4 linked regions of the Kluyveromyces lactis genome follow. The protein of the gene in region 3 interacts with the protein of the main gene of each other region in a pairwise test. Links are inferred from orthologs where the notes say so. Each region holds a gene or a part of one and is shown on either strand. Other genes may lie near its edges.

Region 1 (4,756 bases), on a different chromosome or scaffold from region 3:
CCTGGATATATGGCGAAAATGTTACCAATTTGGTCAATTTTAATGGAACAACCAAGATCTTTACATTCACGAACAAACCAATCTCTCATCTTACCGTCTAATTCGGTCCCTGCAAGTCTCCTCATACCAAATTCGTGACGTTCTTCACCCCATCTGGCAACACCTCCAAATTCGCTGCCGGTAGATAAGATTGTATCGTTCAATCTTCCAGGAGCAATCTGCAAAGGAACATGGCCGACGAGATTGATTGTGCCTGTCGCAGAATCAGTAGTTGTAGTTGTAGTTGTTGGAGCAATGGTAGATGTCATAAGTTTTCTTTTTTGATGTTTATGTATTGTTTGTAGCTCAAACTAGCTCCATACTGAACAGGAAAGGGAACATCATAACCTGGAGACAAACAAGAATACCAACTCTAGTATACATATATATATATTTATGTTTTGAAACATGTCTTATAGTCAATATCTTGCAACCTATCGATATCTCTCGCTTATCGAGTTGCAGCCTTTAACCTAATTCTATCTAGGTAGTCCATTTTTTTTTGCGACGTTATCAAATGCGAGATAGGGTTCCAAATAAACTAAACAGTTGCCAATTCGAAGAACGGAATCAGATTCGGAAAAAAAGTTCATGATAATCATATCATATACAGGATCACCATACCCGAGATCTCAGGTCGGTACTTGCCGTGGTTGCTTGGATCAGGCTTTTTTCCTCATCACCGGCTCATGTGTCGATCTCTTTTACTCTGTAACTTGTTGCAGCACACATCGTAATATATATATATATATATATATATATATTACTGGTCCCCTAAAGATTCGAACCCGGGAACACACGCACCGCTTGTGCTCCGGAATATCCGAGAAAATTCTTGATTAGGAGTAGCCTCACGTGACAAGTCCTTTAACCCAATCGGGTAAAAGAATGGACGCCATTCCCATGAAATATCCGGGTAAATATAATCTGAAGTAAATCCCAGGTTTCGAAAAAGCTAACACAGAAACCATCATCTCCATCATCAGCATTAGAACATTAATATTATTGTCATTGTTTATGTCTAATTCTTGAAATATTTACATGTTGCAGACTGCGCACCAATCGTGAGATTTCCCTTCGAAGATACCCTGTTGTTTTCTGCTTTTATCATACGTGCGGTTAGAGTGTTGCATACATACCATTCGGTGCATTTAGTCCCCATTCGTTTCAATACTAAAGAATCTGATCTGTGATAAAAATAGTAATTGACTTAAAACTCGGAAAAAAAATATTGACAATAAAATAATAGCAACATTGTCTGTTCTATTCATTTCACATTACGGATATTAACTGCTGTTTTCTACCATCATTTGAGGTCATATATCTATTTATTTTCGACTGTGGTTTTTTTTGTTGTCCGATTTCTTCATTTTGAACACAATATCATTTAGACCCTCATGTCTGATGATTACTATGCATTTGACAACGAGTCACTGTTGAAATCTCGGTCTCAGAGACAGATTTCAAGACAAGGCTCTTTGGTCAGACCTGAAAGAAATAGTTTTAAAGATCCAGACCATCCATACCATTATTATGCTTTAAAAGCGAAGGAAACTCATCTTCAGATCAATCCTTCCACAACAGGTGCTTTGCCTGAAGAGTCCTCGTTGGATATTCCAATGCAAGACCTGAATGTACAGTCAAACGATAAACTTCCAAGTTCTTCTTTGAACACAGTGGGTGAATATGGTGAACCAAATGAAAGGTTGGTAATGGAGGGTAGCGATGGGTTTGAAAAGAAAAACAGTATTTATTCAGAAAAGAACGTGTCTCCTCCAATAGAGATCGGACAAAGGTTAGAATCTAAGGCCAAAGATCAAAACAAGCCCAAAGTGGGCTTTTCGTTATGGCAATCGTACTGTTTTTTGATTACAATCTTCATTCCTCCTTCCGTTTTAAAATTGTTTGGCATGAAGACAAAAGCGGTTCAAAGAGCATGGAGAGATAAAATTGGGTTGATTTCAATCATCTTTTATATTGGAGCGTTTGTCGCTTACCTGACTTTCGGGTTCACAAGAACTGTCTGTGTTCCAGGCAAAGTAAGGATGCGCAACAATGAAGCCACCACAGGACAATTAATTATTCATGGACAGGCATACTCTCTAGAATCTTCTTCTCATCCAGCTGCAGCTGGTATCCCTGGGGGATCTAATATTCTATATCCTCCTGTGAATGCTGGTGGCATGGACGCGTCTTTCCTTTTCCAAAACGTTAACGGTAACTGCAAAGGGTTGATTGAACCAAGAGAAAATTCTACTATTCCTTTCGATGACGACGGAAATATGGCATGGTACTTCCCATGCAAACTTGTTAACCAAGATGGTTCAAGTAAACCTAACTTCACAGAGTCAGAATACTACGCTGGCTGGGGTTGTCACACGAGCTCGACTGCCAGGGAACAGTACTATGCCCTTAATGCCCCGGCGGAGGTATACTTCTCCTGGGAGGATATTAAAAATTCTACGAGAAAGTTGATTGTATATAATGGTGACGTTATTGATTTGGGGATCTTAGACTGGCTAGAAACTGACGATCTTACATATCCAGAGACATTTGATGTCTTGAAATCAGCCAATTTAGAAGGTTATGACATTTCATTGGTCTTATCCACTAGCAGAGAAAGAAATGTAGCCCGTTGTCTCGTTGAACTTGCTAAGGTTGGTGTTATTGATTCAGAAAGTATCGGCTGTATTGCTTCTCAAGTGGTATTATATTTATCTTTGGTATTCATTCTATCCGTTGTCGGTTGTAAATTCTTCATCGCGTGCTACTTCCACTACTTTGTAGCAAAAAAACAAGGTGCGTACACTGTTGACAACAAACAACTCGCCAAACATAATAACGACTTAGAAGATTGGTCAGAAGATATCAATTCTCGTGGTCCTTTGAAGCCCGTTGATCCATCATTAAGACCAATGAAGAAAAATCATAAAAAAAACAGCTCCAGTATCAGTTTATTCAACCGTAAATCCCGATTTAGCCAACAATCATTGGGTAAATCTGTACACTTGAATGATCCTGTCATTCAGAGCCTTGAAAGTACTGGTATGTCTACAATGACTACACAATCCGTGCTGAAATCAGCATATATGAATGAAATGAAGAGAAAAAGTGCACATGCTGGATTCGCCTCGCAGTCAAGACCGGTCTCCACTATTAATCCTTTTTCCGACAATCTTGATCCTTTCGGTACTTCAATGACTATGGAATCGTTAGATCCAACGATCATTCACCCCGATGCAGTATTACAGCCGCCCCCAGACTTCATGCCCTATGGATTTCCATTGGTTCACTCACTCTGCTGTGTCACCTGTTATTCAGAAGATGAGGTAGGTTTAAGAACAACATTAGATTCCATTGCAACCACAGATTATCCAAACTCTCATAAATTAATCGTTGTAATCTGCGATGGTATTATTAAAGGTTCTGGTAATGACAGAACCACCCCGGACATAGTATTAGATATGATGGAAGACTTTGTGATTCCCAAGGAGCAAGTTACAGCTTATCCTTACGTTGCAATTGCAGTTGGCGCAAAAAGACATAATATGGCAAAAATATATGCTGGGTTTTATAAATACGATGAATCCACCATACCCGCCGAAAATCAGCAACGTGTTCCAATTATCACCATTGTAAAATGTGGTACAGCTGAAGAACAAGGCTCAGCGAAGCCTGGTAACAGAGGTAAGCGTGATTCACAAATTATATTGATGTCTTTCCTACAAAAAGTGACTTTTGATGAAAGAATGTCGGCTTTAGAGTTCCAACTAATGAAAAATATATGGCAAATTACAGGGTTAATGGCTAATTTTTATGAAACAGTATTAATGGTTGATGCAGATACTAAGGTTTTCCCAGACTCTTTGACTCATATGCTTTCAGAAATGGTGCATGATCCATTAATCATGGGATTGTGCGGTGAGACTAAAATCGCCAATAAAGGTGAATCGTGGGTTAGTGCAATCCAAGTTTTTGAGTATTTTATTTCTCATCATCAGTCTAAGGCGTTTGAATCGGTTTTCGGTTCCGTAACGTGTTTGCCAGGTTGTTTTTCTGTTTATAGAATTAAGACGCCGAAAGGTAAAGACGGATTTTGGGTTCCTATTCTTGCGAATCCGGATATCGTCGAAAGGTATTCAGATAACGTTACGGACACATTGCATAAGAAGAATCTATTATTATTAGGTGAAGATAGATATCTATCATCACTACTTTTGAAAACATTCCCCAAACGTAAAACAGTTTTTGTTCCTAAGGCTGCTTGTAAAACCGTTGTTCCAGCCACTTTCAAAGTTTTGCTTTCCCAAAGAAGACGTTGGATTAACTCTACTGTCCACAATTTGTTTGAGTTGGTCTTAGTGAAGGATCTTTGTGGTACTTTTTGTTTCTCAATGCAATTCATCATCGCAATGGAGCTTGTGGGAACACTAGTTTTACCTTTGGCTATTTGTTTCACAGTCTATGTCATCATTTTTGCCATTGTTTCCCACCCAACTCCCGTTATAACTTTGGTCTTACTTGGTTTGATTTTAGGTCTCCCAGGTTTATTGATTATCGTAACAGCCACTAGATGGTCATACTTACTTTGGATGTTGTGCTATATAATCGCTTTGCCAATTTGGAACTTCGTCTTCCCAACATACTCGTATTGGAAATTTGACGACTTCTCTTGGGGTGAAACTCGGGTAATTGATGGTGAAACAAAGACAGCGGA
Region 2 (3,531 bases), on a different chromosome or scaffold from region 3:
AGTGTTGAGGAAAGAGTACTTACATTCAGTCGAATTACGGAGAAAATTAAGCCTCAGTTAAGACGCTTCTTCTTTCAATCTTTCGTGCATGCACATGATTGGTATGAAAGTAGGAACAGATATACTAAGAGCGTGGTAACATCATCGATTGTCGGATATCTGTTAGGCTTGGGAGACAGGCATCTTAATAATATTTTGATTGATATAAAAACCGGTGAACCCATTCATATTGATCTTGGAGTGGCATTTGATCAGGGAAAGCTATTGCCAATACCGGAACTGGTTCCCTTTAGACTAACAAGGGATATTGTAGACGGATTTGGCGTAGCAGGTATCGAAGGTTTGTTTAGAAATAACTGCGAAAGAGTATTTAAGGTGTTACAAGACGAGAAAGAGCGATTATTATGTGTTCTAAATGTTCTGAAATGGGACCCATTATATTCATGGAAGATGACTCCCTTGAAGAAGCAAAGATTGCAAGCAAAGTTTACTGGTGATTATGATGAGGAGGAAATTAGTGTTTCCGATGCAGATTTCAGCGAGCTTTTAGAAGAAGATAATAATAATGATGAATCCATAAGAGCACTAAAGGGAGTTGAAAGTAAGTTATATGGAGACGGTTTGAGCGTTGAAGCAATTGTTCAGGAGCTTTTGTCCAGTGCTACTGACAAACAAAATTTAGCGACAATTTACATGGGATGGTCCCCATTTTATTAAGATTGATGTGTTTGAAGTTCTTACTCGAGATGAAGACTTTATTATACTACCAGCACCTGAAGCGATTTGCAAGCAGTATAATTATAAATAATAGCATATTCATTAAATAGCATGATTCATTCGAAGCAAGTATTTGCGTGTTAATGAAGAATTCAGTAACTGTGTTGATAAAAGCACTTGAATTTTTCGCGAATAAGGTTGATAAGCCGGTTGTTATTGCAAACTGTGGAAATAATATAATATAAAAGACGATACACAAATCAAATGTTTAATGATACAAACTGATGGGAGGCAGTAATAAAATCAGTGTGATTTCCCATCCAAAAGCTTAACGTAATTACTTGGGATAATCCCTGTTTCCCCGTTTGACTTCTTGGCTTTCCACCATCTACCCTCGATATCACCAACCCTGAGAATTTCGCCCTGTTCGAAGGATATTTCATACGCGTCAGTTTGGTCCGCTTGATAGGTATATAAAGCCTCTGCAGTGTATGGGAAACTGTTTAATTCTTCACCAATGTCACTGTATAGGCCTAATGTGTCTCCCATGGTAGTATCTGTGTTGGCATTGGTGGTATCTGTGATGAAAGTGCCAGTGGCCTGTGTATTCAGTGTAGCAGTATTTTGCGCATTAACATCAAGGTTTGGTTTCGAAGAGGAATGATCTGTATTTTCAAATCCGTTCAGCACTGTAGACGACACATACTTTGTAGACGATTGAAGTTCTGGCGCATACATGTTGCCACTGTGGCCCTCACCTTCGTCATCGTGGTGGACATCAGGCAGAGATGCTGAACGCAAGTCTTCCTGGTATTGGTATGGGTAAGAAGGTTTGACCGGCAGTCTCTGCGATCTGGCAATAGCCATGGATGTCTCTAGCACCGAAGGACGAATTCCGCGTAGTGAGAACGAATCGATCCATCTATTGGTTGGAGATGCATTATCTCCACCAAAATAAATCACCCACACCAAATTGATCATGGATAACAAGATAAATCCTGCTGCTGCTGCACCACTCTTGGACCCTTCATAGTACACAATACTGTTAGTACTATTCGAAGTATATACGAATGCGATACCAACAGCACAAGTAATGAACATTCTATAGTAGTCAACTAAATCCAAACAGTACACGATAAAAAGCGTAATCATTAGTAGTATCTCGTAAACTATAGTCCACCAAGAAAATCTTGGGAATGGAGACGTAGATGCTGCAACAGCAATGGATCCCGCCAATGCAATGATCCATGAGATCAATGCAATACTAAGTGTGCCTATGGCAAAAGGATCGCCCAAAAATGACGAGATGTTAAATTGATGAGATACATGCGGATTCTCCCTTACAGCACGGGCTTGACTTGCTTTAATCAACGCCATCTCTCTGTTTGCAGATATTCCCTTGCCTCGCTGGACTATTGGAACACTTGTGACAACACAACAACTAAAATTGAAATAAACTTGCTTCAAGTTCAAGTATGTTCGTATTGATTACTTTTTATATTTATGTATATACGGTATACATTTATCATTTTTTTTGGTGTCTGTCTACAATGAGAGATGAGTTATTTTTTGATCATGTGACAGGCAGCAACCAAAGGCTCGCTAGGAATACGCGGGCCGCTTATTTAGAGTGTCAATCGGGAGTACAATTGGTAGCAGTATCAATGGTTAGTCTCTAGTACCCTGTTTATCCTGTACCCTCAATGTGTCGCATGTAGAAATATGGTAGCACTTAGTGAAGTTATCATGACGATGAATCCCCAAATAGCAAGTAACAATGAGATAATTCTCAAGATTCGTTCTTTTGCTGGTGGTACAACGGATTTGGCGTACTCCGATGCGATTAACTTGTAGCCAAATATTCCAGGTAAGATGAAGGATATAGAAGTGGATCCGGTTGCTCCTACTATTGACAAAACGTTTGCTAGCGACGTAACACTCATAGCGAGGATGTACGAAAATAATAGGATTCCAGACGTGATAAAGATGAATCTAGGGCCTTCTAACGTTACTACTGGAGGCTGATTAGCGCTGTTTTCTTCAATTAATTCGTCTTCGCATTCGTAGGTTAACTGTTCGCTAGATTCGAGTTCAGAGTCCCGTAATAGACTGTTTTGTTCTGCACTTGTGGTTGTCATTGGGGGATGGGTGTTCCCCTTGGAGAAGTAATGTAAGATATGATTGACAGATGCTCTAGCTGGATGACATTGTAGCGGGAAGGCAAGGATCACTAACAATGCTATAGCTATTCTACCGATGGTGCTGGAAATGGAGTTTGGGTATAAGGTGATAATGTTACCAGTAATATGATCACCGAAGGTGCAATAACCTAGCGCTCCAATGGAAATGTACAAAGACATTGCTAGCGTAATGGCAATCCTAATCAATTTCGTTATACTGTCTAAAGATTTGTCTGATTGTTCATTGATGATGGAAAACATGTTGTGATGGCAAGTATACGCGAAAACGAAAATTGGAAAACTGCTTAGCATGGATGAATCCACATCACTGGGTTTCCAGATGCTAACATGGCCTCTTAAATGGTCGATTTCGCTATTTGGAACGGCAAAATGGAAGACAACTAATACGCATAAGTACCCAACTGCTGTAATTGCAATGGAAGAAGTGTACCTTAAAGAGTCTAACTTCTTAATGAAACACAACGGTGTCACGATGATCAACGTAACTGCAGTGATGTGAAACTGGCGTGATAAGAGCCACCCATGGGTTGTAAACGTGGACATTATCTGTGGTAACAAATCTCCAACGACCACCAAATATGAAACTCCGACCCCAAAACATTTAACAGCAATT
Region 3 (4,258 bases):
CCCAATTCTCGTACTTCATGTCATGAATCAAAGAATGGTGCTCTTTGAAGAACTTCGTGATTTCAGGTTGACCTTGAGAGTAACCATATTGCAAAGATCTTGACAATGGAATATCGACACCCTTTTGAGATTCCTCTAAGTTCTTGGTGATATGAATCTGACAAGTATCGGCATCATCCCCAGATGGTTTGGCACCGATACCGTTGGAGAAAGGTGGTAGAGGAGATTCCACAGTCAAGTTATCCCATGGGAAGTAATCAGACATTGGTAAACCACCACCCAAAAAGATCAAGTTTGGATCATTGAAATAATGTATAATTGACTTCAATTGAGAAGGCATACGACTTTTAGTCTCATCACTGTACAAGTGTGAAAAATCCTTAGCAACACCTTGAGTCATGATGTAATATGTATTCTCGGTGAAAGCTTTTGGTTCAATTTAGATTGGTTTGATGCTAAGCCAAGATAATATATCTAAAGTATATAAGAATTACAAACAGTGTATAAACCAAATCTAACTGTGTAAACTGCACAAACTAATCCTTCATAACGCGAATGTCTATTCTATCTTTTCATCTCGCAGCTGCTTATATATACACATATTAACATATACATGAGGAATACTGTATGATTCACTACAGCATATACCATACTGGTAAATTTCTCAACTGAAATTGAAAAAAAAAATTCCAGCTGAAAAAGTAACTTTGGAGAAATTTGACTGCAATTAGGTACAGACTTTTAAGTTTTAGAGAGAGCATACTGCGTAAGACTGATAATAGAGGGAAAAAAATAAAGTGCTCGAGATAAAGGTTGTCACTTAACGATAACGACTGGAATGGCTACATCTTTACATCGTAATATCTTTAGATCTTGTGACTATTCTTCACAGGGTTTCTAGTTTTAAGTTGATTTCTGTAATTAAGGTGTCAATGAGAATATGCCATGCAGTGGTCAGCATCGCGGTAAGTAACGGTTAGTGATGCTGTTATTTCCGAGGCAAATGTCTTTGTTATTTTAGGCATTGGGTTTCCTGGTTTGACTTTTTGCCCTGTCGGTGTTTCGTTTTCTTTTTTCAACTACGGTAAAGTACGGTTAGTTGCGGTAACTATGGGGTAGTTGCGGTATTGGAGAGTTCGATCCATGACTCAGGGCCTATTATGTGACTTCTTACCACGGAAATTGTGACCCATGTATTTCCTTTTGTCGTTGACAGGTTTTCATGTTAACAGGCTTTTGGTATTAGTCACGCGATATATATATATCACGTGACTGTTTTTTGCTTACATAGATTTTCTTTTTCAATGGAGGGATATACTGCCAGTGCCAGTTTTGAAAGTTTCGTGTATATTAAAGCTAAATAAAGGCTTGGTAAAAATGAAATTACTTAGGAATATGGTTTTGCTGGGGTGAATCAACGTTAAAAACGCCTATTTGGTTCAGACCTCGCTGTTTATTTCAGTTTGTTAGACATTTATAGGGCCGTATTTGTGTTATAAAAGGTTGCGCTGTGACTCTCGCTCGATATTTTTTATTCTCTTTTTTATCATTTCTCTCTTGCTGATATTAACAGTAAGGTTTCATGGATGAATCACAACAATCATTAGAATATAATTAGAGTGCTGTCATGTCTCTTTGGCTTTTCTTTGTTCAAACGGTTCTTCTCATTCAATGTGCATTGGGAGGTCTTCCAAATGCCAAGGACTATTTAGTGGCCCCCGATTTGTTGCCTGGGTTAAATGACGTTAAAGATAAGGAACTTATCCCGGAAATGCATGCAGGTCATATTCCCTTAGATGATGGTGATGATGATGATGATGATGATGAGAAAAACTATTTCTTTTGGAAGTTCCATGACCTCGCAAATCAGACGTCTGTCGTCGCATCCAAAACTTTAATTATATGGTTAAATGGTGGGCCTGGATGCTCATCTTTAGATGGGGCTCTTATGGAATCAGGTGCGTTACGGATCGATGACGACGGCGAAGCCTATTTAAATCCGGGTTCTTGGCACACTAGAGGTGATATTGTGTTTGTGGATCAACCTGCTGGTACTGGCTTTTCCACGGTAGGTGATTCGAAATATGATAAAGATTTGAACCAAGTTTCAAAGCATTTCATGAAGTTTTTAAAGAACTACTTCAAGATTTTCCCTGATGATTTGGATAAAGACCTTGTTTTGGCAGGAGAATCGTATGCTGGTCAGTATATTCCATTCTTTGCTAATGAAATCCTAAAGTTCAACTCGAAATTGGACAAAGACGACAATGAGGAGGAAAGCCGAAGTGGTAAGAAGTACAATTTAAAGAGTCTGTTGATTGGAAATGGTTGGATTGATCCTGATCAACAATCCTTATCTTACATTCCTTTTGCTTTGGAGAATAACTTAATTTCAACGAAGGCTGATTACTTCCCTGATTTATTAAATATGCATAGTCGTTGTCAAAATTTAGTCAATAATAATGGAGGTAAAAAGTTCTCCTTTGATGAATGTGAAGATATTTTGACCAAAATCCTTTATTACACCCGCAGAAAGACAGATGAAAATGGGAATAAAGTTCCTTCAAATCAGGAGTGTACGAACATATATGATTTTAGATTATTCGATTCCTACCCAGCTTGTGGAAGCAACTGGCCAGATGATTTACCTAGCGTTTCTAAATTCTTGGGTAAGCCAGGTGTGATGGATTCGTTACATTTGGATGTTGATAAAGTCCCACATTGGAGAGAATGTGACAGTAAGGTGAGCAGTCATTTGAAGAACAAGAACACCCAGCCTTCGATTCATTTGTTACCCAATCTATTGAAACACATGCAAATTTTCTTGTTCAATGGTGATAAGGATATCATTTGCAACTCAAGGGGTGTGCAGGATTTGATTAAAAATATGAAATGGAACAATCATACCGGATTTACTAATGATGCCGAATACTATGACTGGCAATACTACGACCAGTTTACAGATGACACAATTTCTGCAGGTTTTGTGAAGCACGAAAGTAATTTGACGTATGTTTCCGTGTACAACGCATCGCATATGGTCCCTTACGATAATGCTTTAATCAGCAGAGGTATTATGGACATCTATTTGAAAGATGTAGAGTTAGTAGTCGGAAAAGACAATCAAGATGATGTTATTATCTCAAAAGACTTCGTTGTACACTCGGACCACTCAACAGGAGAAGAGGAATTGTCAGCTGATCAAAAACAAGATGAAGATGAGAACTCGCACAAGGATAGACACCGGAACTCTGATAAATTCGAAATCGCTGTCATACTTCTGGTCGTTTTCTCAATTACCGGTACCATTGCATATTATTTCTTGCGTGAACGTTTCAGAAAGCAAATACATGCTATTCTAATAGATCCGGAAAATAGGCCACCTTCATCAAACAAATCCGTTGCATGGGCAGATGACATAGAAAACCAGGGCGATGATTTTAAGTTATCCATTGACGAGGCACCCTCTACTGCGGACAAACCAGCAAAAAACAAATCTGGTTATACAAAGGTGCCTAACACTGATGACGATTCATTCGAACTTGATAACCTATAAGATAGAGATATTTAAGTAAAAACATTACTATATCAAACGCTTAAACTTGAGTTACAGTTTTTTTTTGGTTGTTCATTGTAGCTTGAAAAGCTTTTTCAAATGTCCTTGTATAAACCACGTCTTTTTCCTTTTATTTGGTGATATGAGACTATTCGTGAGACTGAAAAACGATCCTTCATGCTGTATCGTTTGTACTCTTTGTGGAAAAATGGAAGATGAACAAGAAGTTACCGATGAATCTACTAGAGATATGTCTGTATTCATCGCATATTGGTGTTTACGCCAGAATATAAGGATTTTCTTGAACAAATGTTTGTAACTATTAGTCTTCAGTGGTGGTCGTTGTGCTTCTTTATAAAGGAGAGCAGAAAGTGATTCTTCAGCAGAAAGATAATTTTGCTGCCTTTCTAAGGTATTGATAGTATCTAATGCTAGCACTTGTGCCCGAAATTCTATCAAGATTTCTTCAATTTTCTCGGGGGATACGTTCACTCCTAGCATTTTCAAATAGTTCAATTCGTCAGCGTCATTAATATAAAAGAAAAAAGGGTCATCATCCAGTAAATTATTGTTCACGTTACAATCTAATGCAACACGTGGTATTTTGCTGCTGTGATGTCCTAGCCGTTGCTCAAGCTTCCTTGTCTCGTTTTCGTCATATGTGGCGCTATGCTCAAAAGATGTCATATTTACAACAGGTTC
Region 4 (4,915 bases), on a different chromosome or scaffold from region 3:
CCCCTCACTAATTACAATATGGATAAATAAGAACGATGATCATTCATTCATTCGCTTAGAAAGTAATCGAAAACATGTATCAATTAAGAAAAGAATGGGTCATTATTTTTTTCCTGTTTCTGTTGAGAACTCAGAGATGTGATAGTAATTAGCTATCTTGTAATTGCCATCGAGAGAGGAAACAAAGAGTAAAATGGGAAACCAGATAATGGAGAGGCTACGGAGTCACTAACGGAGTGGATACGGAATAGATACGGAGTAGCGATTAAAGATGAAGATGATCTCTGAGTATCGTATCATGTTGAGAATTGAACCCTTAATTTTGTCCAAGTGTCTCTCTTCTATTGTTCCAGCCTTTCTAGTCAGTTCCCGTTTACGTGTAGCATAGCCTGTCAAGAAGCGGCCCAGAGCTTATACGAGACGATTTCATTTGACATGTCTGGGATTTTCCCCTTCTTTTTCGATTGCTCCAATTTTGGAGAACTGCCGCGTTTAACGCGTTTTGCAGTGCGGTTGTGAGGGGAAATCAATGTGGATCCAGCCGGTCGCACCGGGTCATCCATCCATCCAGTTTTTTTTTTTTTGAGAAGAGAATATTTGTGGAGAAAAAAATAAGAATTATAGGAAGCAGAAAAGATGACTAGGGGAGAAGCAGTGGAGAGAAGCTATGCCTGTGCTCTGCCTGGTTTTTCTTAAGTTTTGCTTGGGTTTTGCGTGCTCGGCGGTTAAACGAATGGGAAAGCTTCCATTAATCCTCTCGGTACCACCCGGACAGTTTTTGGGAAAGTGTTCTGTACAGAAAAAAATCGGGGTTGTTACGTTATCGAGCATACAACCCTGGAGGGGAGAAGAGAGACGGACAATGGACATTCGTCCGTTGTCTGTTTATTGCGTAAACAGGGTCCTGTGTCCAGTATCACAGCCTTACCCGAATCCACCACTGTGGAAACACGTGACTTCCACTGCTTTATTACCCTGATATACACACGTGACTCGCGAATCAAGAGATCAAACTTCTGATATTGCATTAAAAAAAAACTACTATTTTCTTGTTAGGAATATAGAAAACAAATAATACGTATACTATGCTAATGCAGCATTCTTCCCTTTTTCCTGTAACTGACAATGCAAAGGGAACAACAGCCTTGATTTGAGGAAATAGAGCGAACAGGATAGGCAGGAATACACCCTTTACAATCAGTCTACCGTTGCACTGTGCCTCTCCCCTTCTTATCTGACTTCATGTATACTTATTTTCGCTATATACTTGCTGTAGGTCCCGTGATTTCGTGTACCTCACATCGTACGCATCCTGGTTAACGGTGAATGCTGCGCCTTTTCAATTTCTTTACCGTTTTGGTATTTCCAAAAATAACAATTTCTCAACATTGAAATTATTGAAATTTCAGTTGAAATAAGTTTATTTGATTTGACTTTAACCTTTATCGACTTTTAAATAGAGAATCTTATTGCGTTAGTGTTAATGGTAACCTTCCCTTTAGAGTTGTATACCATCAAAGATTACATACCTTAAACAAAGCAGAGACTACTAAGCTGCAGCTGCTCCCCAGTATACACTTGTTGTTCTTGTCATCATGCGGGCCTTTTCTCTGCTTGTCGGATTTCTCACGACATTGGTGATTTTACCGTTCACCAATGGTCTCAAACACATCAAGACGTCCTCGCTTCTCACTTGCATGGAAGACTCGCAATTTTCTGCGTCGTTCTTCGAAGTCACTTTCTTCCCCGATAATAAGACCGCTGTGTTTGATATCGATGCTACTACCACCATTAGCGAAAATGTCACTGCCAAGATCGAATTAATCATTTATGGGCTAAACGTCCTCAACGAAGAGTTCAACTTATGTGATTTGGACCAAGCCTCCATGTGTCCTCTAAGTGCAGGTAGAATCGAGGTAAAATCCACGTATTCTTTGGATGAGGATAACGACATGGTTGGTAACATTCCAGGGGTCGCGTACACAGTTCCTGATATCGACGCACAAGTGCGTGTCATCGTTTACTCAACAAACGATACAAGTTTCGAAGAGCCACTAGCGTGTGTGCAAGCTGCTCTGTCCAATGGTAAGACCGTTCAGACCAAATATGCTGCTTGGCCTATCGCTGCGATTTCAGGATTGGGTGTTATCACGTCAGCTATCGTTTCAGTTATTGGACATTCCACCACAGCTGCTCATATTGCTTCTAACTCCATCTCATTGTTTGTGTACTTCCAAAATTTGGCTATCACTTCGATGATGGGTGTGGCGCGTGTCCCACCTATCGCTGCCGCTTGGACCCAAAATTTCCAATGGTCCATGGGTATGATTAAAGTGGGGTTCATGCAAAATATATTCGATTGGTATGTTACTGCTACTGGCGGTACCCCTGTTGTGGTCGTAGCAAACAAAGATATTCTATCCATCTCAGTGCAGAAAAGAGGATTTACAACGCAGTTTAACGATTTTGCGAAAAGATCATTAGACAGTTTAACCACTGGTCTTTACAAAAGAATATCTGCTGATGATGGGTACGATTTCACTAAGTTGCTTTCCGAAAGTGATTTATACACTTCGGATGAGAGAAACATTGATGACATTTCTTCTAAAGTTATTGTCTTTACTGGTATTAAGCGTGTCGCGTACTTGGCCGGCATTGAATTGAGTAATGTCTTTTTGACAGGTATCGTCTTCACTCTTTTCTTTGTCTTCTGTATGGTTATCGGTATGGCAGTCTTCAAAGCTGTCATCGAATTGCTAATGAGAGCAGGATACATGAAACAGACTTCAAAATTTTACGAATATAGAAGATCCTGGGCCAGTATTATCAAAGGTACCTTGTTCAGAATCTGCATCATTGCCTTCCCACAGGTTTCCATTCTATCCATATGGGAATTCACTCAAATTGATTCCGTCGCTGTGGTTATTGCCGCTGTCGTCATACTTATTGTTGTCTCAGGATTACTATTGTATGGCGTCGTGAGGGTGATCATAAGAGGGAGAGAATCTACACGTTTATACAAAACCCCAGCATACATGCTCTATGGTGATGCTCCGTTCTTGAATAGATTCGGTTTCTTGTACGTTCAATTCAAGGCTGAAATGTACTGGTGGTTGATGCCATTATTAGCATACATGTTCTTCAGATCTTTGTTTGTTGCCGTACTTCAAGAACACGGGAAACCTCAAGCAATGATCATTTTCGTTATAGAATTGGCATATTTCATTGCATTATGTTGGTTAAGACCTTACTTGGATAAACGTACCAATGCGTTCAATATCGTGATTCATGCGGTCAACTTGTTCAATTCTATCTTATTTTTATTCTTCTCGAACTTGTTCAGACAACCTACTGTGGTTTCCAGTGTTATGGCAGTCATACTATTTGTCGTGAACGCTATTTTTGCACTATTCCTCATGATCTTCACTATTGTTACGTGTGTGTTGGCCTTGGTTCACAAGAACCCAGATGCTCGTTACCAACCAATGAAGGATGATCGTGTTTCTTTCATTCCAAAGGTTCAAACAAAGGGTGAAACAGGAGAATTGTTCGATTTGGGTAGAGCTGCTATGCACACTAACGAACCACCTTTAAAAGACGAATTTGAAATGAAACAATCAAATAATTCTGCAAGATTATTGTTTGATGAAGATATCGACGACTCTAATACCACATACGATACTTCATCTCGTATTAGAAGATTTGACTCTTCGAGCGGAAACGAACCATTGCAGCCAAGTTCTGCCGTCATGGGGGACAATACCACGAGTTATAACCGTGTTCCAACAGCTCCAAGCACTACAAATTTAAGGAAACCGGAAAACTCCTTCTCTGCTAACACACAATATCAAGGTTTCTCTGGTAGCAACCCATATTTGAACGAAAACCCAAGCTACAACAGTTTTACCAGACAAACGAATAATAAATCTGACAATGTACCGTATTTGTAAGCTCTTACACATACACTCTGGTATTCAAGAACGCGAGCAATTGTATAATAATTCCAAGACAAGAAATCATTAAGAATTAAGATGTATATACATTCTATGAACATCTGCACCTTTTTGCATTCTTCCTCCCACATGTGGTTGCGCATATTAGCCATCGGAGAAACAAACAATTAAGGAAGCAATGAATAGTTGAACTAAATATACATATGTAAACTTACAACGTAACTTTAACATTCAAAAATCAAAGGAAAATGTAGTTACATCCTGCAAAAGCTAACAGATATATAGTTAAGCTTTTCAGATGCAATTGAAGAAGAATTTGAAGAATGAAATTTGGTCTTCGATGGTTTTGTCTTGAGCATATCTCACTGCTGGAATGCTTAAGTCACCTCTGACAGCAAACCCATGGGAAACACCGCCAAATACATTGATTTGGTAGTAGCTGCCTTGTTTTTTTAAAGCTTCTTCGGTCTTATATCTTAATTCTTCAGGGAAGATGTTATCAGTTTCAGCTGCAGAAATCAGCACTGGCTTTTTACCAACTGCTTCCACTTCTTCGATCTCAACGAATGATGGGTGAGCAAGGGCAGCTGCATCAGCCAAACCGACTTTTTCATTGATTTGTAATAAAGCGTATTTGGCACCGAAACAGTGACCGATAACACCAATCTTCTTTGGGTTAGTGTCCTCCTTCAACTTGGTCAAGAAATCTTGGACTAGACCGTGGGTCTTTTCGGCGCTGTGCCTTTCTAGCCAAGACTTGAAATCGAAAGAGCCGTCCAAAGCTACGACTTCATCGTTAAACAAAAAATCTGGTACATAGACTCTGAACCCAGCTGCAGCCAATTGATCAGCGATTAGCAAAACGTTGTTAACCTTAATACCGTAAATATCTGTTACAATGACCAAAACATGTTCATTCTTCAAGGATTCGGGCCCAGCCACATAGGTCTCGAACCCATAAA

What was found. The genes of interacting proteins can lie anywhere in the genome.
Region 1: the proteins of KEX1 (region 3) and CHS3 interact in binary tests that used the Saccharomyces cerevisiae proteins (3 or more experiments, as listed by UniProt). The link is inferred for Kluyveromyces lactis from reciprocal best matches to the Saccharomyces cerevisiae genes KEX1 and CHS3.
Region 2: the proteins of KEX1 (region 3) and SHO1 interact in a protein complementation assay, tested with the Saccharomyces cerevisiae proteins (2 studies listed by BioGRID). The link is inferred for Kluyveromyces lactis from reciprocal best matches to the Saccharomyces cerevisiae genes KEX1 and SHO1.
Region 4: the proteins of KEX1 (region 3) and FLC2 interact in a protein complementation assay, tested with the Saccharomyces cerevisiae proteins (2 studies listed by BioGRID). The link is inferred for Kluyveromyces lactis from reciprocal best matches to the Saccharomyces cerevisiae genes KEX1 and FLC2.

The regions. Positions count from the first base shown.
Region 1 is NC_006040.1:301,457-306,212, reverse strand, and holds the start of CHS3 (chitin synthase CHS3), read left to right. Parts: upstream 1-1,436; coding exon 1,437-4,756. Other genes in the region: KLLA0_D03520g (M20 family metallo-hydrolase), read right to left, coding at 1-308. UniProt on the Saccharomyces cerevisiae protein: Polymerizes chitin, a structural polymer of the cell wall and septum, by transferring the sugar moiety of UDP-GlcNAc to the non-reducing end of the growing chitin polymer.
Region 2 is NC_006041.1:628,340-631,870, reverse strand, and holds SHO1 (osmosensor SHO1), read right to left. Parts: upstream 2,095-3,531; coding exon 1,021-2,094; downstream 1-1,020. Other genes in the region: DNA-binding protein kinase TEL1, read left to right, coding at 1-717; AVT5 (amino acid transporter), read right to left, coding at 2,418-3,531. UniProt on the Saccharomyces cerevisiae protein: Plasma membrane osmosensor that activates the high osmolarity glycerol (HOG) MAPK signaling pathway in response to high osmolarity.
Region 3 is NC_006042.1:922,711-926,968, reverse strand, and holds KEX1 (serine-type carboxypeptidase), read left to right. Parts: upstream 1-1,627; coding exon 1,628-3,556; downstream 3,557-4,258. Other genes in the region: ARO8 (bifunctional 2-aminoadipate transaminase/aromatic-amino-acid:2-oxoglutarate transaminase), read right to left, coding at 1-400; KLLA0_F09977g (uncharacterized protein), read right to left, coding at 3,629-4,243.
Region 4 is NC_006037.1:299,870-304,784, forward strand, and holds FLC2 (flavin adenine dinucleotide transporter FLC2), read left to right. Parts: upstream 1-1,595; coding exon 1,596-3,950; downstream 3,951-4,915. Other genes in the region: protein AIM2, read right to left, coding at 4,248-4,915. UniProt on the Saccharomyces cerevisiae protein: May be responsible for the transport of FAD into the endoplasmic reticulum lumen, where it is required for oxidative protein folding.